Linked DNA regions of Arabidopsis thaliana. The protein of the gene in region 2 interacts with the protein of the main gene of each other region in a pairwise test. Each region holds a gene or a part of one and is shown on either strand. Other genes may lie near its edges.

What was found.
Region 1: the proteins of HL (region 2) and TBL41 interact in a protein complementation assay, tested with the Arabidopsis thaliana proteins (one large-scale study listed by BioGRID).
Region 3: the proteins of HL (region 2) and CYSD1 interact in a two-hybrid assay, tested with the Arabidopsis thaliana proteins (one large-scale study listed by BioGRID).
Region 4: the proteins of HL (region 2) and CYSD2 interact in a two-hybrid assay, tested with the Arabidopsis thaliana proteins (one large-scale study listed by BioGRID).

The regions. Positions count from the first base shown.
Region 1 is NC_003074.8:4,993,021-4,998,379, reverse strand, and holds TBL41 (TRICHOME BIREFRINGENCE-LIKE 41), read right to left. Parts: upstream 2,955-5,359; 5' UTR 2,766-2,954; coding exon 2,503-2,765; intron 2,440-2,502; exon of another isoform or gene 1,835-2,439; coding exon 1,663-1,834; intron 1,576-1,662; coding exon 1,400-1,575; intron 1,307-1,399; coding exon 1,148-1,306; intron 1,070-1,147; coding exon 769-1,069; 3' UTR 595-768; downstream 1-594. Other genes in the region: AT3G14840 (Leucine-rich repeat transmembrane protein kinase), read right to left, coding at 4,489-4,887, 4,982-5,132, 5,220-5,359. UniProt on the Arabidopsis thaliana protein: May act as a bridging protein that binds pectin and other cell wall polysaccharides. Probably involved in maintaining esterification of pectins. May be involved in the specific O-acetylation of cell wall polymers.
Region 2 is NC_003076.8:22,083,709-22,088,790, forward strand, and holds HL (HAL2-like protein), read left to right. Parts: upstream 1-2,289; 5' UTR 2,290-2,424; coding exon 2,425-2,578; intron 2,579-2,842; coding exon 2,843-3,506; intron 3,507-3,574; coding exon 3,575-3,878; 3' UTR 3,879-3,932; intron 3,933-4,032; 3' UTR 4,033-4,386; downstream 4,387-5,082. UniProt on the Arabidopsis thaliana protein: Phosphatase that converts adenosine 3'-phosphate 5'-phosphosulfate (PAPS) to adenosine 5'-phosphosulfate (APS) and 3'-phosphoadenosine 5'-phosphate (3'-PAP) to AMP. May regulate the flux of sulfur in the sulfur-activation pathway by converting PAPS to APS.
Region 3 is NC_003074.8:1,363,202-1,368,642, reverse strand, and holds CYSD1 (cysteine synthase D1), read right to left. Parts: upstream 3,554-5,441; 5' UTR 3,361-3,553; intron 3,166-3,360; exon of another isoform or gene 2,988-3,165; 5' UTR 2,963-2,987; coding exon 2,921-2,962; intron 2,813-2,920; coding exon 2,703-2,812; intron 2,586-2,702; coding exon 2,528-2,585; intron 2,440-2,527; coding exon 2,176-2,439; intron 2,095-2,175; coding exon 1,957-2,094; intron 1,883-1,956; coding exon 1,831-1,882; intron 1,719-1,830; coding exon 1,639-1,718; intron 1,540-1,638; coding exon 1,480-1,539; intron 1,402-1,479; coding exon 1,321-1,401; intron 1,225-1,320; coding exon 1,135-1,224; 3' UTR 799-1,134; downstream 1-798. Other genes in the region: LCR41 (low-molecular-weight cysteine-rich 41), read left to right, coding at 1-22, 208-395; AT3G04930 (DNA-binding storekeeper protein-related transcriptional regulator), read right to left, coding at 4,244-5,441. UniProt on the Arabidopsis thaliana protein: Acts as a cysteine synthase. The cysteine synthesis reaction is more efficient than the cyanoalanine synthase activity.
Region 4 is NC_003076.8:10,025,336-10,030,576, reverse strand, and holds CYSD2 (cysteine synthase D2), read left to right. Parts: upstream 1-1,854; 5' UTR 1,855-2,026; intron 2,027-2,041; exon of another isoform or gene 2,042-2,397; 5' UTR 2,398-2,410; coding exon 2,411-2,449; intron 2,450-2,538; coding exon 2,539-2,706; intron 2,707-2,708; exon of another isoform or gene 2,709-2,794; coding exon 2,795-3,058; intron 3,059-3,149; coding exon 3,150-3,287; intron 3,288-3,366; coding exon 3,367-3,418; intron 3,419-3,611; coding exon 3,612-3,691; intron 3,692-3,762; coding exon 3,763-3,822; intron 3,823-3,917; coding exon 3,918-3,998; intron 3,999-4,092; coding exon 4,093-4,182; 3' UTR 4,183-4,390; downstream 4,391-5,241. Other genes in the region: DES1 (L-cysteine desulfhydrase 1), read left to right, coding at 1-84; AT5G28010 (Polyketide cyclase/dehydrase and lipid transport superfamily protein), read right to left, coding at 5,195-5,241.

The DNA.
Region 1 (5,359 bases), on a different chromosome or scaffold from region 2:
ATCACAAGAACAGGCTCTTCGTTACTAACTTGCTATTAACACATTCTTGCTTGCTATATATAGATCTTTGGCTGCTAGAGATAGGTTCCTTGCTAACCATGGTCCTAAGAAAGTATATATAATTGTAAAGAATCTTAGTCAAAAAAAAAAAAAGGAAAAAAAAATGAAGGGCCCTACCGGGTTCGAACCGGTGACCTCTTGATCTGCAGTCAAATGCTCTACCACTGAGCTAAGGACCCTTTTGTTCAACTCATGATACATTCATTACAAAAATATTAGGTGCTCATGATAGAACAGAGTAAAATCTATGTGTTTGGCATGGAGATAAAGAGAGTACGAATACGAATATGATTTTTTAAGATCGAATTTGATAATAACTTGACTTCATTCATACGAATATGATTTTTTAAGATCGAATTTGATAATAACTTGACTTCATTCAGTTCCATTTTTATAGAATTATTGTAGAGATTTGGTTGAAACTTTAATAATTGGAATGTGCTTTGTTGACAAACTATCGATCAGTTGAAAAACGACCTTACTAAATGAATTAGCTATAGAAGTTTTGATCTATACAGTTTCATATTGTGTTCACTTACACTACACGGAGGTAGGGTTTAGATTAATTATTTTTCTTGATCATTCGATTTCTTTAATTCTAATAACCTATGTATGATTACAAAATTCAGAAACGGACCTTTTATTCAGATTTAAATGATCAATCACAATAACAAATGCTATAATTGATGTTTCCGTATTTTATTTCTTTTACTCAACCATATAATTGTAAAGAATCTCATTCCAAGTATCCGGTACCCCAGAGAGACACCAGTGGCTGCAGTCACCGGAGGAGTTTCGCCCGCCTAGACCGTAAACCGAAGGATGAGCATCTTTGCGAAGCAACGAAAGCATCGTAATGTCTAGCAATGTCACCGGTTTCGATATTTTCCCGAGTGCTCTCTTCAAAACTCCCACTTCTGCTGGCAATCCTCCTGGATATTTTGTCCCCAAAAGTGGTTCCTTCTGTCCCACGCAACTCTTTGCCGCTGGTTCGCCCCACAGAACTCCTCTGGTAAACAACAAAGCCAACTTTTTAAATACAAGTTTCTTTAGTTGATCATCTTTTTAATCAACAAAATCAACTTACTTGTAATGAGATGGAGAAATTCCTTGAAAAAAGACTCTAGTTTTCTTAGTATTTAAGACGGTATCGACCCATTTCCCCCAAGTCCCAAGCGCAATTTCAAACGCGGCCACACGGTCCATGTCTTTTGTAACGTTAGTCCCTATTTGAATCAAATCCCATCTGCCAAAATTAACAAAACAAATCCAAACTTTGAACATTGCATGTAATTAAGCCAAAAACAAAGCATATTAATTCAGAGTTACTTGAACGTACGGTTGTGCAGGACCTCTCCGACTCCACCAATGCCAAGTATTAAAAATCAATGTATCCATCTCTACCCAATTTTTTCCATCATTGATCGAATCAAGCTTCAAAACTCTCCCAATCTTCTCCCTAACTATATCTACTAGATAAACATTCCTATCAAGCTTCAATTCCAGTCCATACTCCTGCAATTTTCACCACTCCGGTTTAGTTCATCCCGGTTTTCTATTCAACTTGACCAAAACAAGTGTAGATTTGGTAATAACAACTACCTTGAATGTGTAGGTTGATATACTACCTTGTGTGGTTAAAGTATACGTAGAATTTGGAACAGAGGAATGAAGCATACATGCCAACGATTGCCATTGATTTAGACTAAGAGAATCACCAACAAACATAATCTTCTTCCCTTTGTTTTTCTTCAAAAACTGCAATCCATTGAACCTAGAACAAACAATATAAACGGTGGCGTTTTATGTCGGTGGCATGCATTGAAATTAACTTAAGAAACAGGAGGACAGAACCGTCGAAAGATTTGAGTTACTGTCCCCACAAGTGTGGGGGAATTTATGTCTTCTTATGAGGAAGAGTTTGGTGGCTGTCCTAATCTCAATGGCGGCGCGTGTAACTCACGCCGGATCCACCACTTGGCATATATTGTGACAAAAAAAGTTCGTTTTCATCTCGTGCAATTTTGGAGATTCTAAACACCATTCAATTATAGCAAACAACTATATAAATAGCATTCTCTTTTCTCATTGGTTGCTCACTCAAAAGTGCTTTATTTTACAAACACAAAAACAATATCTCTAAACATTTTCAACTTTCTTGAAAAGTAATTATATGAACCAAATCAAGATTTCTTCACACTGCTGAATTATTATTGCGTTTATCTTTCAAATCAAAAAATTGTGGTCCTCCTATAACGCTAATGTAATGTCATATTTCAACAAATAAAAACCGACGAATATATTAAAACAAAATCATGAATCAAAAGTAAAAAAATAAAAATAGTCATATCTATAACGATACCTTGGTTCAATAGCTAGACACCCAAAAAAAAAAGTTTGAAAAGATAAAAATGTATGTAATAAATAAAGAATGGATGATACCTTGCTAATTTGCAGGAAAGAGGCTGCCATCTGAAGGTAGAGTAATCGAGATCTGGCCGTCCATTTCTCTGGCAAGAGAACTCATGTCTTATGAACGGACACGTGGAGGAATTGTAGAGAGGGTAAGAATCGTCCTTCACCCACCGCCCCGTGAACATGTCACATCCTTCTGCTGCTTCGTGAAGCAGGGGAAGAAGAAGAAGAAGAAGAAGCGATAAAACTAATGCAGAGTCATTAGAAATGGCGTTATCCTTTGAACCCATTTCAACACAGACAAGAGAGAGAGAGATATTCAAATACGCAGCTGGTTTTTATACACCCACGCATCTATATATAAAATATATATATAAGTCACATTTGTCATAATAAAGAGAAGGAAGATAAGTTTTTATCAGTCAAATATGTGAAGTTGTGAACTATAGATTTTTGGCAATAAATCTTGAAAACAAATCTCAACATTTCTTTGACCAACAAAAAAAAATCTCAACATTTCTGTGTGCATTTAGAGAGTGTATTCAATCTAATATTTTCAATGATTTGTGTAAAATTTATAAATCATATGCTATTCAATCATAAATTTTAAAAACTCTAATAAAATCTAGTGTTATTGAACTAATGATTTAAAAATCTATCTTAAAATTCACTCTTATTGAAAACAGTTTGTGGATTTGATTCTTTTTAATTCTGAATTATTTGAGAAGACTTCTTTAGTTAAATATATAAAAATCCAAATCTTATAGTTTTAGATAAAATTTGAATAAATTTACAATAAATCACATCAACTTCCCTAAAATCATCAAATTATATAAATTAAAAAGTCAGTAAAACTCAAATCATTACTATTTAATGACGTAGTTTACTAACATTGATTTCCATGATTTTGGATTTTGAAATCCAAGTAATGTAATTTACATATGGTCAACAACTTAAATGAAATGATTTAAGTACGATATTTATGTTTACCAATTACAACTTCACGATCTTTTTTGTTTTTGTTCACCTTCAAATTTGCAAAATGTCGGTTACAAGGTCGATATTTATTTATACCATTTACTTCGAGATCATGCTTAAAATTTTGTTTTCCTTGAAATAACTCGATTTGTTCGGACCATAAAGATTCTGTGAAGAGTTTTCTTTTTGTTTGGTCTATTTAAAAGGATTTTCATTTGCCGGTGCTGCCCCGTGAAAAGCTTGAGGACCTATAAATTCATATTTAATCATTCATTCCTTATAATTTAATTGTAATTTTCTAAACGACAATATAGATAAACCTATTAAACTTTAAACTATTACAAGCCAAATTATTGTCCATGGAAACAGATGTTAACAGACCAACAATTTATTCGGTAGCACTTATATAATCTAACATAATTATTCTGGTTTCATGAAACGTATTAAATTATTAATAGGATGGTTGACTAAACAATCATATTAAGGGGACAATAATGCCGTTATCGGTGCAATTAATATTTCAAAATAATTTAAAAATTTTTGAAAATGTTTTTAAAAAGAAATCATATTCACAAATCTTAAATAAAAATTTCTAGAAGTTACGGAATCCTATAGTCATATATTTTTTTATTTTATCGTTGCAATTTCAAGGGGGTTCTGCATTACAATTCTAGATCATAGTAAAGCTCTAGTGTCCAAATAAGCCGAGTGAAATTTAATTTTCGCCTTTGTATGAAATTTTGTAAATCACAATATGATTTCATTTAAGAAAGTAAAAGCCAAATCATACGTCAAACAAATAAAAAAGAAGTTAAAAGAACCTAACAACAAAATATTATCTCATCTAAATTGTTTTGGACCTTTTGATTCTCTTAAGATAAATATTCTCATTTTCTGTTTCATGTAACGTAATCTTCCAATTGTCTTAAATAGAATAATCATAAATAAAAAAACTTTACAAAAAGCAAAATACAAAACGTCATAATAACATAACTCCATAATTTTCTTTCTTTTTGGCAAAAACGTTATCCTTAATTAAGTTCTAGTGTTCCAATAGGCAGAGTCGAGCTTAACAGGGTAAAGATCGTTGGCGTTGGCGGTTGACGTAGAAGACGACGTGAAAGGTCCATCGGTAGTTGTCGTGTTCGTTATCTCCTCCTCACCTATCGTGGCGTAATGCCTTTTCATCGCTCTCACACTCTCTTCGTCCTTTTCATTGTTGACCGAAGCTTCAAGAAGTTTCTCAACATTCACCGTTGAATGGCCTTCGAGCATACTCACCACCGTCGACATCGAAGGTCTATCCCCTGGAGCTGGACTGGTACAGAGCATCCCTATCTGAATCATCATCAATGCTTCTTGTTTGTTGTAATCTGTTCCTAGCCTTGGATCTACTACTTCAAGTAGAGTGTTTTGTTCCCTTAAAACGTGCACCTGCGAAAGAAATTGAGATTCAGATCCATAATTTAGGGTTTAAGGGGTTTAGGTTTAGGTTTTAGGCTTTTTGAGGTGTGAAGTGATGATTTACCCAGTCAAGAAGGTAGAAGGTATCAGCTTTAGATCGTGAGCTCGTGTTGCTCTTTCCGTGAACGATTTCTAGGGCCACAACGCCAAAACTGTAGACGTCGGCTTTATCTGTCAAATGGCCTCTCATGGCGTATTCTGGAGCCATGTATCCACTACAGACAAAAAAAAGTTTGTTTTTGGTTATATGAAATCTCAGAGTTGAAACTTCTTGTTTGTGATTGATTGGTTGTTTGACTCACTATGTTCCAGCGACTCGTGTGCTGATGTGTGTGTTTTCTTCTTCATCAAGCTTAGCAAGCCCAAAATCTGAAATCTTTGGGTTTAGTTCCTTATCCAGCAAGACATTAGTGGCTTTGATGTCTCTGTGTACGATCTTGAG
Region 2 (5,082 bases):
TTTGAGAAGTTAATTATATGTAAGTTTTTTGCGTAAAGGGGCTGTTATTGGAGGATTTTTCTTAAAGCTATTTTAAATATAAGTTTCTCTTACAAATTTGTGACTCTTAAATGTGGATGAGATTCGAGAAAAAGAGAGATTATTCCACTTACAGAAATGAAATGAAAAACGTTGGTCACGACGAGACCGTCAATCACGTCGACGCCGTGAATCCAGCCGAGAGACGCGTTTCGTTCTTTAGCCTTTTTCTGTCTTTCTTGTTTTGGTAAATAATAAGACGAAAAATATGAAACCAAAAAAATGAAGAAATTTATATGTCTAACGACTCTTTTCTTTGACTATAATCATCTTTTCTTTTTAGGTCCCAACCATTTCTTCTTGTATTATCTATCACATATCATCAGATCCAAAATCAACTTGATTAACTTCCTTACTGAATTAGATGTAATCAACGAACAACTTGGAATTATCTTAATCAATTCGTGTTGTTAGTTTGCATTTCTCTACTAATAATTGTCTACATAGATACTAACTTACCAAGTATCAAAGGATCCTAAGAAGTCCAAAATGATATCTCATTAGAAGTCAATTAATCCATATAATTAAGATTTTTAGTAAGAAATACATAGATGAACAATGATGTTAACATGTAAAGTTGCCTCAAAAAACATTCTCCTCCAATACCTTATATGAAATCAAATTAAGAATCATTTGAGAGCTTGGTTACACAATTTAAGTTTTTTCTTTACTTTGCTTTAGAATAAAAACAGTCTCATCCAGCTCCTGATAAGAGGTTTTAATATGCCTCTATGTTATTAACCAGCGTAAGTCCACAACTGATTTCAGTGGCTTATCATGATTCATGGATAGAGTTTGAGGGAGATTTTGGGACTTAGGAGACTGCTATACGCATAAGTTGTAGCACATATGGCTCAGTCTCTCATCATCCGTGTTGAAAACATACAATGGTCAGCACCTATTATGGATCGGGCCTATATGAAAAAAAAAAAAAAAAAAAAAAGCAACAGTTCTGGAGAGTTTCCATCATTCAATGTGTAAACTAATTTTCTTAAACATCTTGTTAATTTTCCTAAGATCTGAAGCATTAATGGGATTTCATATAGGCTTCAAAGGCTATATAAATTTTCCTATAGCCCAACTAAATATATTATCATATTGGGCTCACTTACTTGGAGTCTTGGACGGTTTAACAAGTTTGTACTATTGTTTATTATTCACAGCCTATTAACATAATTTAATCCTAATGCTATATTAATTAAATAGATTATATTCAATTAATTAGTTATACAGCAAACACAGGAGCTTTCTGTCCACATGCACGACCACCATGCATAGTCCCTTCTTTACGGTCTATATTCATTTGACCTCTTCATCTATATAATTTCATTTATTCCCCTAAGATTATTATACCAAAGTGAATAGAAAAAAAAAGAAACCGTCTATGCGTTTAGTTTTTCCCCAAATTGCTATAACTTAAATCATATAGATTTGTAGAGAAAATATCAGAAGAATACGAAAATTAAAAGTATGAGTAATTTTTTTATTAGCTGAAAAACGAGAATGCGAGAATTTTTATAAAGACAACTTTTTGTTTCGACCTTTTTTTTCTTCTTCCGCACGTGTTCCCTAATTCACCTAACTACAAGTCTACAAAGTACAAAACCCACTCACCATCCACACGTTACGATTTTGTCGTAAAGTATATACGATTATTCATTTTCTTTTTCTATTTGTCAAACGTGAATATTGTTTTTATTGTATTAAAAAGAATTATTTAGTTTTCAATTTTTGGTTGCTTCAAGAAAATACTCACTAACAATAACATACCAAAAATATTATCTTCCAATATCGTTTTATTAGAAAAGCGTCGAAATTGATACCTTAATTTTGTATGATATCAAGTAGTGAATCACATTTCTTAATACACAAATTAGCATAACGTTGCAAAAGAAAAAAAAAATTAGGAAGGAGAAAAAGAAAATGTATTCTTACAAAAACATTAACGTTGTTATACTACAACAAAGAAAATAATTATTTTTCTAGTTTGAAATACTTTTGAAAATCAACGTTGTTATTAACTTTTATATATTTATTTATTATTAATTTTCACAAAAAGTTGTTATTAAGGAGAAAAGTGTGTTGTTGTTTTATTTTATTTTATTTTTTAATCCAGGGAATAAATAATTTAACTATAACCACTTTAAGAAAATGTGACAGAGCCACCAAAAAGAGCATAAAAAGTAAAATTAAAATAATAATTATGATTTTGTATTAAAAGAAAGAAAGAAAAAAAAAGGAGAGGAGAAGAAGCAGTGGAGAGAGAGCATGTGAATAAAAAGCGTGAAGCTTTTTGATATCTCTTTCTCTTCCTCTTCCTTTCTCCTCCGATAGATTTCGCCGGCGATGGCGGTGGACTCCTTAGAAACGGAGATTGACACGGCGGTGCGTGTTGTCCACCTCGCTTCTTCTCTCTGTGTTAAAGTTCAAGAGAAGCTTCATCTTCCTAACGGTGGTCACGTTAAGTCTAAAGACGATGATTCCCCTGTCACCGTCGCTGGTTCGATTTCTCTGTTTCTCTGTTTTGTGTTCTGTTTTTTTCTAATTGTAATTTTGAGATCTGTTTGTGTTAAATAAAAAAAAAACGAATTTTTGATGTTGGATTGTGTAATCGAATAATCATGTTCTTTAATTCGTTGATAGATGAAACAAAATGTGTATTAAAATACAAAAGTTTGCAACTTTTCATCACTTCCAATGATTCTCTGTATTAGTAGTTCAATAGTGTATCAAAGTTTTAAACTTTTGTTGATTCACTTGACAGATTTTGGTGTACAAGCAATTGTGAGCTGGGTTTTAGCTGAAGTGTTTGGTGATCAAAACCTTTCAATTGTTGCTGAAGAAGACACTGAGACACTCTCTGAGGCTGATTCTTTAGGTCTTTTAGGAGCTGTGTCGAATGCGGTTAATGAAGCATTGTCCGAAGCTCAGAACTACGGGCTTCCGAAGCCAGTTAAGCCATTGGGGTCTAGTGAAATTCTTAAGGCTATTAGTAGATGTAACTCTGTTGGAGGACCTAAAGGAAGGCATTGGGTTCTTGATCCTGTTGATGGAACGTTAGGGTTTGTTCGTGGGGATCAGTATGCTGTTGCTTTAGCTTTGATAGAGAATGGTAAAGTTCTTTTGGGTGTACTAGGATGTCCTAATTATCCGGTTAAGAAAGAATGTTTAAGTAATGGTTGTAACCAAGCTATGAAGACGAAAGCTGTTGCTGGTTCAGTATCGAAAGGATGTGTTATGTATGCAAAGAGAGGTAGTGGTCAAGCTTGGATGCAACCTTTGATCGTTGGAGGAATACCAGAATCTGCAACACTTCTTAAGGTTTCTTCAGTTGATGATCCGGTTTTAGCTACAGTTTGTGAGCCAGTAGAGAGAGCAAACTCAAACCACTTGTTCACTGCAGGACTTGCCAATAGCATGGGAGTTAGGTAAATGTTGTTTATTCACTCTCTTATTCAAATGTTACGTTATTGACCAAAAGTTTTTTGCTCTGCAGAAAGCAGCCTATGCGAGTGTATAGCATGGTGAAATATGCAGCGATTGCACGTGGAGACGCTGAAGTGTTTATGAAGTTTGCACAGTCAAGTTACAAAGAGAAGATATGGGATCACGCAGCTGGAGTTGTTATTGTGGAAGAAGCTGGTGGTGTGGTGACTGATGCGGGAGGGAGAAACTTAGACTTCTCGAAAGGTGTTTACTTGGAAGGTCTTGACCGTGGAATCATCGCATGTTCTGGTCAAGTTTTACATGAGAAGATTATAGGTGCTGTTTATGCTAGTTGGGAATCTTCCAGTCTCTGAAAAAGCTTATCCACAATCCGTAGTTTGGTGCAGCATCATCGAGCCAAAGCAAAGGTAAAGAAGATAACAAATTGTCCTCTTCAAGATTGTAATCATATTTGTAGATTACTGCATAAGCTAGTGGTTTTTAATCGGTTTATTTGTTCCGGTTTAGGAGGAACAAGGGCCATTACGGTTTAGGATGAGCAAGGGCCAGTTTCAATGAATGTGAATGGCGGAGAAGTAAATATAGTCGAGGAAGCAGCGGTAAAAGTAAGAATCTAGTTTATTTACCTATCTAAGAGTAATAAAGCTGCTGCATTTCACGAACCCTTATGTTCTATGATCTTTAATGGATGATATCATTTTTAATCTTCGTCCTGTAATAATTCACCTTCAAAACGCGGATTATACATGTCGTTTTCCTGACAAAAGACAAAAATTAGTAAATTACTGAATAGGCTCTAACTTACTCCATGCTATTTCAATGGTTAACGACCCAAATTGTCTCTCAAATTTAAAGATTCAACTAGAAATTGCCGATAATATTGGTCCAGTTTTGGGCTAATAAATTTTGTTTATTGGGCCGACTCGATGACCATTTTAAAGAGGACTCAATAGATTTTTATTGATACGAAAATATTATTAAATCAGACCGAATTAAAATGCCTTGAACTCCGGTTTAGCCGACATGTTTGGCACCCTAATGAGAATAGCTTAGTTAGTTTTGTGTTAGTCTAAAGATTAAAAGTAAAAAGTTTGATTCTGCCGACAATTTCTTAGATTTGGTGCTATTTAAAAGATTTCCCTCTTCAATTTTATCGAATTCCAACCTTCAAATAGGCTTTTCCATACATTTATTGAAGAATTTATCATTATCAGTCACAATTATGTGTCTTCATCTTTATACGTACATAATTACTAGTAATAATTAAATTCTACTACTAATAGAGGACGGCCAAAGTGTCAGTAATGATGCATGAATGGTTAGTTGATAAACATCTCTTTCTTATGAATTCAATTTTTCAATTTTTTTTTTTTTTTTTTATATTTATTTCGTATACTTGTATTTTGTTGAATATTATTAATACATAGCTACATAAAATGTGATAAAAGATTAGGTAAAGTAACAATTGGTAAGAAAATATCACAAAGAAGCAAATGACAAGGATAGTCTCATAAGTCATAATCAATACAGTTTACCTATGTCAAAAAAAGAGTCTCA
Region 3 (5,441 bases), on a different chromosome or scaffold from region 2:
GTTTTCGTTATTTCTTCTTCAGGTAACATTTTTTCTTTAAACATTGTTTGATATACTAATTCTGATCACTTTATCTACCATATCTAGTAGGATGACAAAATTAATATTTTGTTGTGTCCTTGGTTGGAACTCGGAACTGAGAAAAAAGATAACAAAATGGTTCCACTTCTTTTATATTGATAAACTTGTGTTTGTGTTATTATATAGAAAACGGGATCATGATAGGAGAAGCAAAAAAGTGTAGTAATTCATGGATTTGTGAAGGAGACGAGAAATGCAAAGAGAAGTGCATGGCTGACTACAAAGGCAATGGAACATGTTATTACCCATCTCCTCCTTCAAAACAACATCCTGAGTTCTTTTATCCTACATGCTGGTGTGGGTTTGATTGTTAAGCTCGATCTCTATCTCCAAAAGACCAAAACTATTGTTATCTTTAATCCATTGAATCTATTAATGATCAAGACATAATTAACTAAATCATTTCCCTTCTTTTTCTTTTATCATTTACTATTTTTTATACATATAAGATTTTATTATAGGAGTTAAGACGATGAAGAAGGAATATTAGAGATGGAATCACAAATTCTTTGGTTGCTAAGCAATGTTTTTTCTAAGCAACTTATAAGTCTAGTTAAGGTGCAGTATCACAAGTGTTCAATGACTTGCCTCATGTTTTGAGGCTTCAGGCTTTTGTTCAAACTCAAAACTAAGTGTCCCAAAGAGTTGTTGAGAAGCTTGGGTTTCAAAGAGAGGGTTTGCTCAGGAAGTAGACTTGTCTCAAAGGTGAAACCTATGATGTGTTTGTTTATAGTCTCTTGTCCTCTGATCTTTTTCCTCTTCCACAATCCTCTAGCCAAATTGTCTACTACTAGTAACATGGGTTGAAATCCTACATGGCCATTATATAGTTCTAGATTCATTGTCAACAAAAGTTTTACAGACTTACACATATATTAGCTAGAAAAAAACCACCAATAGAATGTCAAAGGACAGTCCACCTTAGAGGCTAGAGATTAGAGATCATACATCATCTGAAATCTTAAAGTTCATGAAACTATGACAGTGTAAATGTCGAACCGAAATCTTGGTACTTTTTCACCAAAACGAACCAAGTCAGGTCGTGTAAAAGCCTCATTGAATTGGCAAATTCTCTGCTTCATGTCTGACTGATTCGAACAATGAGGTCGATAGGTAACGTTCCCCACCGCTAGGGAAAATCACCTAAACAAAACAGACAGTAACCGATTCATTTTCTTTAAAACCTCAGTGAAATGGCAAATTATCTGCTACACGTTATGATTCTGTTTTTTTACTTACAACTATGAGTTTGCCGGCGTTTTCTGGCCGCTTTGCCACCTTTATCGCAGCGGCTGCAGCAGCTCCAGAAGATATTCCCACCTGCCAGACATAGAAATGTTGGTTTTATGGCTTAAACGAACATAAAAATGTTAAAACCAATTAAACCAGTGATTCTACCAGTAATCCTTCTTTCAGGGCAAGAAGTTTGGCTGTTTCAATTGCTTCCACACTTGTCACCTGAAAAAAGAATTGGAGATTACCAACATCTCAGTACGATTTCTCTGACATCTCATCGCGTTTACAAAGACAACACCGATAAAACCTCAGCTACATTACTTGGATGACTTCATCAAGAACGTTGAAATCCAAATTGTCTGGGATGAGTCCAGCCCCAATACCTTGGATCAAATGTGTACCTACAAACAGGAAACCAGTATCCGTTATGTGATCAAGAAAGTGATTTAGCAGCAAGAAACTCCTCGAATGATGTTTACTTATGTTAGACTCAAGAACAAGATTTGAACTCACCCGGTTTGCCTCCACTTATTACCGCACTTTCTGTAGGTTCCACACCATAAACCTGTTGATAAGAGAAGTGCTTGAAAAGCCAAATCTATAACTACTATGGTTGGACTTCAATAAAAGTTTCTCTACCTTAAAGTCTTTATTCTTCTCCTTGAGGAATCTTCCTGATCCGGAAAGCGTTCCACCAGTTCCAACACCGGCAACCAATATGTCTACTTCCCCTGCAGAGTCTCTCCATATCTCTGGACCCGTGGTTCGATAATGAGTCTGCAGAATAATCAATTTAGATTGATAAATATAGATAGAGAGAGAAGAAGAGCAAATGTAATGTGAAAGGAGAGTCCATACTTGCGGGTTTGAAGGATTTTTGAACTGTTCTAGCATGATACTATCTGGATTTTTGCTACATATCTCTTCAGCTTTGTCGATTATTCCTTGAACGCCTTTACTAGGATCTGTGAGGTGAACCTCCGCACCTAATGCTAAAAGAATGATTTTTCTCTCAAGGCTCATTGATGAGGGCATTGTGAGGACCACTTTGTAACCTTTAGCTGCACCGATGAAGGCTAAACCAATCCCGGTGTTACCAGAGGTAGCCTCAATCAGTGTGCTCTGAGTAAAACCACCAGGATCCAAGTATCAGTTTGATTTTTAATGGCGAAAACGAAAAAACACGAATGTATGATATAATCTGATCTACCTTCCCAGGAGTAATCAATCCCTTGTCTTCTGCATCTTTAATCATACCATAAGCAATTCTAGCAAGCGAAGGATCAATCAAAAGAAACAAGATATTTCTCAGAAACACACACAAAAGAACAAACATTGCTTGGAGCAGACAAAAGAGATAGAGAGAGGGTTATTTGTATATATACCGCTCCTTGACACTAGAGCAAGGCTCCATCATTTCAAGCTTAGCTGCAATACGAGCTACACAACCATCCACAATGTTGTTCAGATATACCATTGGGGTGTTACCTATCAACTGACACAGTATGCAAGGAACTAAGTACATTTTACTTGAGCAAAGGAACTAGAACTTTATTCCAGTGAAGCAGTTGATTAAAAAAGACAACTGAAAGATTATGATTACTTGAGTTGCATCATCCTTGATCGAACACCGGTCCTCCTCCATGTCAAAATTCTTCCCAATTTGAGTTCTGAAGATCACAAGAAAATCAAAAAGATTTAAGACACAGTCTGCAAGCAATGTCCCTAATAATATAAAACATTCATATAAATCGAAGAGTGTTTTGAAACTGCATGAGATCCAAAATTGTAAAGTGAAACCAAAACCATGATTTAAGTTCAAACTCGAATATAAATCAGAGAAAAAAAAAAATCGAACAGCAGAAAACATGAGTATCAAACTAAATATAAGATTTAACAATGAAACAAGTGAGTGAAGCATTCGTGTTCTTGAGCTGAAATCGAACTTGAGGAGGCGAAATTATGAAAGTTTGAAATTTTTGGAGAGAGAAACAAAAGAACAGTTCGAAAGATACAAAACCAGAGACTTATAGAAGAGCTTACCAGTTCCAGATCCAATCGAAGAAGAAGAAGAAGAAGAAGACTGTCGACAAAAAGAGAGAACTGTTCTAGTGTTCTGTCAAATTAGCGATAAGCTTTTATAAAGTGAATTATTTGCATATACACACACACCATCATCCACCACCAAATATATCCACTCGTTTATACATTTATAAAAAATAATCATGTATCTTCCATAGGTATTTTGTTAAAATCATTGTATAAACTATAAAGTCAATAACAAACCTACCTAACATTCTTTGCCTCGTCACGTGGACAAGTTTCTGCCTTCTTGAATCTTTAAATTGTTTTGATTATGCCTTTTTTTTTTTACTTAATCAGGAAAGGAATCTTCTGATGCGTACTAGCAAGAAACACAACATTGGTTCTTTTTTTCAAACACAAAAGTTTTTAAGTAACTACATTAATCAACATGATAAAGAAAGAGGTCAAAGTTTAATACACTTCAATAACAGTATCCGATCTAGAAATAAACATGTTATTACAGATTTTATTAGACAAAGAAAGAGTAGCACACAATTTAGAATTATTATTTTTCTTCTTTTTGAAAGAAAAACAGCTAGAAAGTCTGTTTGTTATTGAACAAATGATTCTACGAAAAAAGAACTATAATCTAATACAAAAGGTTATACACAAACCCCCCTCCTATGATTCATCCCTATTGACAAATAATTTAAAGATAAGAAGAAGAAAAAAAAATCAAAATGATGAAAAAACCTAGAGAAAGATCACAATACCTTACCAATTTATAACTTAAAAAGATCCAAATCTCTTACTATACTCACTCACACACCAGAAGGTTAACTCAAAGATATCAAATATCAACCTAAATGGTTCCTTGTTGTCTTATTCTTCTCGCCCTTCATCATATACCACTCGGCATCGTCTTTAACTCGTTCAATGTCGTTCTAATCTGCTCTTGAACCAACTCTAATCTCCTTGAATACACTTCCAATTCCAGAATCTGTTGTTTCCTCCACCGCTCATCTGCAACCGCCTTGTTTCCTCCTCCCTCTACACCAAAACCGAAATTGAACGGCCGTGTAAACATGGGGCTTAGCGAGCCAAAACCATGACCACCACCACCACCACCACCACCACCAAGACCCGGAAACCCTCCTCCCATTGCAGCCATCATCATACTTGTTGTCCCATTCATCATCTCTTTGATCACAGGAGAGACACAGTTTTTCACAGTCTCTTCGATCAAACCCCCGAGATTTCCTCCAATACCAACAGCTGCAGCTTCGTTGAGGTTGACATTGCTAGCTATTGGCCCATCAGAGGGAGTGATGACAGGTTTGTTGTCTTCCTCAATCTTCCCAATTCTTGATCGTGATCGTTTTCTCGACACGCTACTGCTACTCATTGTCAATTTCTTCTCGATTCCATTTTCGGAGTCGAGCTCCAGAGTAGGATTAGAACTAGGGCTGTTAAAGGTTGAGTAGTTACCATTGGTGGTGTTATGATGGTTATTGGTTTCTTCGAAATCCATTACGTTGTTATCTTCAAAGCCTATGATTTTCCCAGTTTGGTTCCAGATTTTTCTAGAAATCTCGAAAGTAGACTGATCATGAGGGCTCTTGAAGAATACCTCTTTACCAGAGCTGATCTTGCTCATCACATTCCTGTACTTCTTCTTCAATCTCCGAAGCTTCTCCACCAGCTGGTTCTTGTTGAAATCCAGCTGAAGTTTCGACTTTATCTGCTCATAAAACGGCGCCGTATCCGGCGGATGCGAGCTGCTTCCGCGGTGCATCGTCATGTAATCGAGAAAACCACGAAGAAGCTCGATCTCGTCTTCGTCTGTCCACAGCCTCTGGAAAAGGCGTCTAGAATCATCGATCGGTGGTCTCTGATGGACGATCTCCGTCATACGGTGCCACTTCGGATCGGAATCAACGGGAATCACGGAGACAGGGACGGCGGATCCAGCCGGAAGTGCAACGGTCACGGCGCCTGTAGAGGAAGTCGCCGTCGGGGTCCCGGAAACAACAGCAGTCGCTGAGATCGTAGAAACCATGGGGAGTGATGATGTAGACGGAGAATTGAGATCTTCCTCT
Region 4 (5,241 bases), about 12 Mb from region 2:
TTTCCTAGTGGAGGAGAACGTTATTTATCGACTGAATTGTTCGAGTCAGTCAGATATGAAGCTGAGAATTTGCCAGTTGAATGAGTAGTAGTAACGTAGGATTCAATAAGAGATGTTGGTACCAAGGTTACATTTTGATTATTGTAGGTCATTGTAAAATCAATAAGAGTTACATATTCCTTGATGATCAATTATAAGTTGTTCATTAACTAATTTTGATATAATCCGATCGCTAGACCGTCACAATCAAACGTTAAATCTTACTCATTGTTAATGGTCGGTTTTGGCCCATGAACATAATAAGCCCAAACCAAGCCCAGTAAGTGATAGAAAAGATCTGGAGTGTTCCATCGACCAAAGGAAGAGGGCAAAGAGGACAGATGTACTGTGCAGAGTGGAAAAAGTGGTAAAGACTTACAAGCATAAAAAGGAAACCCTAAAAGGACAGGTCCTATAAGTACAAGAATGGAAAGGAATGAAAGGAAATGCGCAATTCCCGCTGACACAGAGAAAGGACAGCAGTACAACCATTGACCTCGCCTCGTCTTCAAGACCTCACCTCGTCTTCAAGACCTCGCCTCGTCTTCAAGACCTCACCTCGTCTTCAAGACTTCGCCTCATCTTCAAGACCTCACCTCGTCTCCAAGACCTCGCCTTGTCTACACATCGCCGATCTCATCCTGTTTCGATCATTCCGTCACAATACCACGTCCCTTAGTCAAGAAATTCTCGTCTAGTCATCGGCCTGTTAACCGAGACGGATTCTTTAACTCTTCCTAGAGAAACATCGTACTTGTGTGATCCCTACATCAACACTCATGACTCTTGTTTGTAATTGAATTGAAAATTAGATACAAACACATTAACTAGAGCTTGTTTTGATACAGAGCTTTTAGCTAACTCTGTTAACTCACTAACGGTCTTCAATAAATCCGGAACCGAATCCGGTTTAATCCCTAATTCATGTGTACCGAGTCTTCTTCAATAAACACATACCACAACCCTCCGCACAAACGAGAGACTCTTCTATGTTTATAGTTTTTGATTATTTGTTTTCTTCGGACCTAACATTTCAAAAACATGTTGTTTTTTTTTTTGAATACCAGAAGGTTTTGTACCGAACTTCATAATCTTTCCAGGCCCGAAACCACAACATGTAATATTAGTTTCGTCCCAAGTGTCACTCGAACCGGCGACCTCTAAATTTCACCTAGGATAATTATCAATTGAGCTAACTACACTTGGTCAAGAACATGTTTAAGTGTGTTTCTACAAAAAAGAAAATTTAAACAGTTGTCCAAAGAAAAAAGAAGCAAAAATCTCCAAAAATCATTGATCAAAATGTTCAGCACCATTCACCAATTGGGCATTGCCAAGCTTGAAGGCGGCCAATCAAAACTGTATTCCCAAGACTGTCTAAGTAGTTCTGTTTTTTTCATTCTTTTTATTCTTAATGTTACATCTTTTGTAAAACAGTTTTTTGTTGAATATAATTTTACATTCATACAAAAAAAAAAACTTTTCTGCAATTTCAAGTAATTTGGGCAACCAATGCAAGCAAATTGTGTCACTAACTTACTATAACGACACATTGTATTCTATAAAATGAAAAAGCATGTGGTTATGAAAATTTGATTTGTGTTAAGAAAATCATGTGGTTAAAAAATTGATCTGTGACCACTTAGGTGTAATATTATTCGATCGTTCGGATAAGTAACACATGATTAGTACTAGAGAAAAGGACAATATAATGCTCTTAAACATTTTAATAATAGTGTTAAATGTTTATCTGCAGATTTTGTTTTAATAACAAAATACAACTATTGGATGCTCTCATTACGCAATATGACAAAAACTCTTTAGATGTCAAATTTTTAACATTATTATACAAGAATGATGACATAAACTCGTCTTCATACTTCAACATCGTTCAGTGTGCACCACATGCAAAGTAGGGTAGTCTCTATATATCCTAATCTAGAATACAGCCTTGTCTTCTTCACTAATAATTCGTTTAAACGCAAAGGTACGACTTTTTTTTTTTTGTTCTTGTTCGTTCTGATTTAGTCTTACTATCATTTCTTGATTTTGGTATCAAATTTATCTAGTTTTCACTGTTCTTTACTAAATTTTTATTTTGTCTCTTATCTACTTTAGAGTTTAGAAGTTCCATATTAAAAATTTTAGTTATGAAACAATATAACCAAAAAATTGCCAAGATTGTTCTTGAATCTTACTTGTGCATTGTAAATAGAGTCTGTTAGCAAACTTTGACCATTGAGTATTTTGTGCTTTGTGTCTAGATTCTTGAATCTTATTCTATGGTTATTGGACTTCATAAATCCATTTTGTTCTTTAGTAGTTGGTACCCAAATATTGATTTTTCAATAGTTTCAGAAAACAGACCAACATGGAAGATCGGTGCTTGATCAAGAACGATATCACTGAAGTAATAATCTCTAATTTCTTATATATGTATCACTTTGCTTTTTTATGATACAAAGAACATGTCTAAAATCTTTTTCTATGTTTGTGCAGTTGATTGGTAACACACCAATGGTGTATCTGAACAATGTTGTTGATGGTTGCGTGGCTCGTATCGCTGCGAAGCTTGAGATGATGGAGCCTTGTTCTAGCGTCAAAGACAGAATCGCGTATAGTATGATCAAAGATGCAGAAGACAAAGGATTGATTACTCCCGGAAAGGTTAATATGAACATTTAAAGTTATCATAAAAGTTTCTCCATAATTTATAAAGAATACATAGATGGAATTTAATTGTTTTTGATTATAGAGTACATTGATAGAGCCAACTGCTGGTAACACCGGGATTGGTTTAGCTTGCATGGGAGCTGCAAGAGGCTATAAAGTGATCCTTGTGATGCCTTCAACTATGAGCTTAGAGAGAAGAATCATTCTGAGGGCACTAGGTGCAGAGCTTCATCTCTCGGACCAGCGCATAGGCCTTAAAGGAATGTTGGAGAAAACTGAAGCGATTTTAAGCAAAACTCCTGGTGGTTACATTCCACAACAATTTGAAAATCCTGCAAACCCCGAGGTTGATAAAATAATATCATGCATCCAACACAATTATGTATATGCTTTTAGTCTCTCTATGTCTTCATTGAACACAAGTTTGTATCTTGCAGATTCATTACCGAACCACGGGACCGGAAATATGGAGAGATTCAGCCGGGAAAGTAGATATATTGGTCGCTGGCGTAGGGACTGGTGGAACTGCTACTGGAGTAGGGAAGTTCCTCAAGGAGCAGAACAAAGACATCAAGGTACAAAAACTTTCACTAACGCTTAAAAACAACCAAAAACTCGGTTTTTAATAACTCGGTTACAATCTTGATCTTATAGGTTTGTGTGGTGGAACCAGTAGAAAGTCCGGTACTTAGCGGAGGTCAACCAGGTCAGAAAATGAACATTTGATAGATCTTATGCAACATATAGTATTGATTTGTTGTTTTGTATGAGATTTAATGTACATATATATAGTGACAACATTAACATACGCGCCAAGTTATCTATAAGATCATCGTTCTTTTGTCCGAGTTCTTGCATTTCTAATTATAATATCGGTTTATGGGACTTCATATTTGTAGGTCCACATTTGATTCAGGGAATTGGCTCTGGTATCGTCCCATTCAATTTGGACTTAACCATTGTTGATGAAATTATTCAAGTAAGTAGCCTGATATGATCTACTTCTTGATCTTGAACAAATAATCTAAGATCTGGAATCTTTTGATTTAGGTGGCAGGTGAAGAGGCTATTGAAACAGCCAAGCTTCTTGCCCTCAAAGAAGGATTACTGGTACAATAGGTTAACTTCTTTTTGTCGGTATAAACCCAAAATTTTGGCAGAAAAAAAGGAGAAGTTTCTGATAAATGAGATAATTCATTTGGCAGGTGGGAATATCCTCTGGAGCCGCAGCAGCGGCTGCGTTAAAGGTTGCAAAGCGGCCAGAAAACGCGGGGAAACTCATTGTGGTAAGCTTTTTCACTAACTGCTTACCTATAAGCTTTGTGTTCACTGAAAACATACCAAGTTTGTTGAATATCTCGGTTAATGTCCGGTTTTCAGGTGGTTTTTCCTAGTGGAGGAGAACGTTATTTATCGACTAAACTGTTCGATTCGATTAGATATGAAGCAGAGAATTTGCCTATTGAATGAATGTTGGACGTGTGCCGGTTTCGTGTGTAATAAGAGACGTTCGTTCCAAGAGTCCAAGATTTCAATTTGCTTATTACTGGTCAATGTGAAATGTATAAAAAGTTGCATATTCGATTATGAATAATTTTAGTTGACTACTTCCATTGCAATTCTTGGTCGAAAACATGAATTTTAATAAAACAGAATAATCTACATGAACGTTTCATTGACTCTTTTGCCTTTTGGTTTGATCTGTGTTCATGCATTTCAGTTATAATAATTTGTTTTCGTCTACTATTTTGACCTCATATTATTGGATTTACCAAAACCAAATCAAAGTAGAACTCTCTCTACTTTGTTTCAGCCACTTACAGCCAACGCCAACAATTACTCAACCAAATGCATTCTCCTCTATGTCTTTTATTTTTGCTGTCTAGATTTATTATTAATCGCAAATCATGAAACTGTGATATAGACGATTCTACCACGAACAATTCCTTCTGATCTTATTATATCCACGACAGACGACACCTCCTTCTCTTTCTCCATACTCTTGATGGACACCTTCAATATCTTCACTGCGTAGAATCCTGAGGAACGGCTATAATTGTATATCGTTGGAGATTTCCTGCACACTTGTCTCCATTAGCACACTTGTCTCCATTAATCTACAAATATGCTAATAAATCGTAGTAGGTGGGACTCGAACCCCAAACCTCTTGATGTAGAAGCATTAATGAACCTTTAGTCAATCATTGGGCCAAGCGGACTTCCACAATTCTCCTCTATGTCTTCAAATCTTTTTTTGTTTATTTGTATCATTTACGAAAAAACCTCCATAGTTCATAGTAAGAGAGTTATAACATTTAACAAAAATAAATATATATTATATAGTTTCCTTATTAATTATTAATAATCACACCATACTTTGAAAAGTATTCACATCAACTATGAAACCCCATACATATGATTATCATGCAATAAATTATATATAGCGACAACACAAGATATAACTATTACCAAGAGTATGTTTTCATTCCTCGGATAAGAGGTGTTCGTCAATCTCTTTGGTCATCTCGG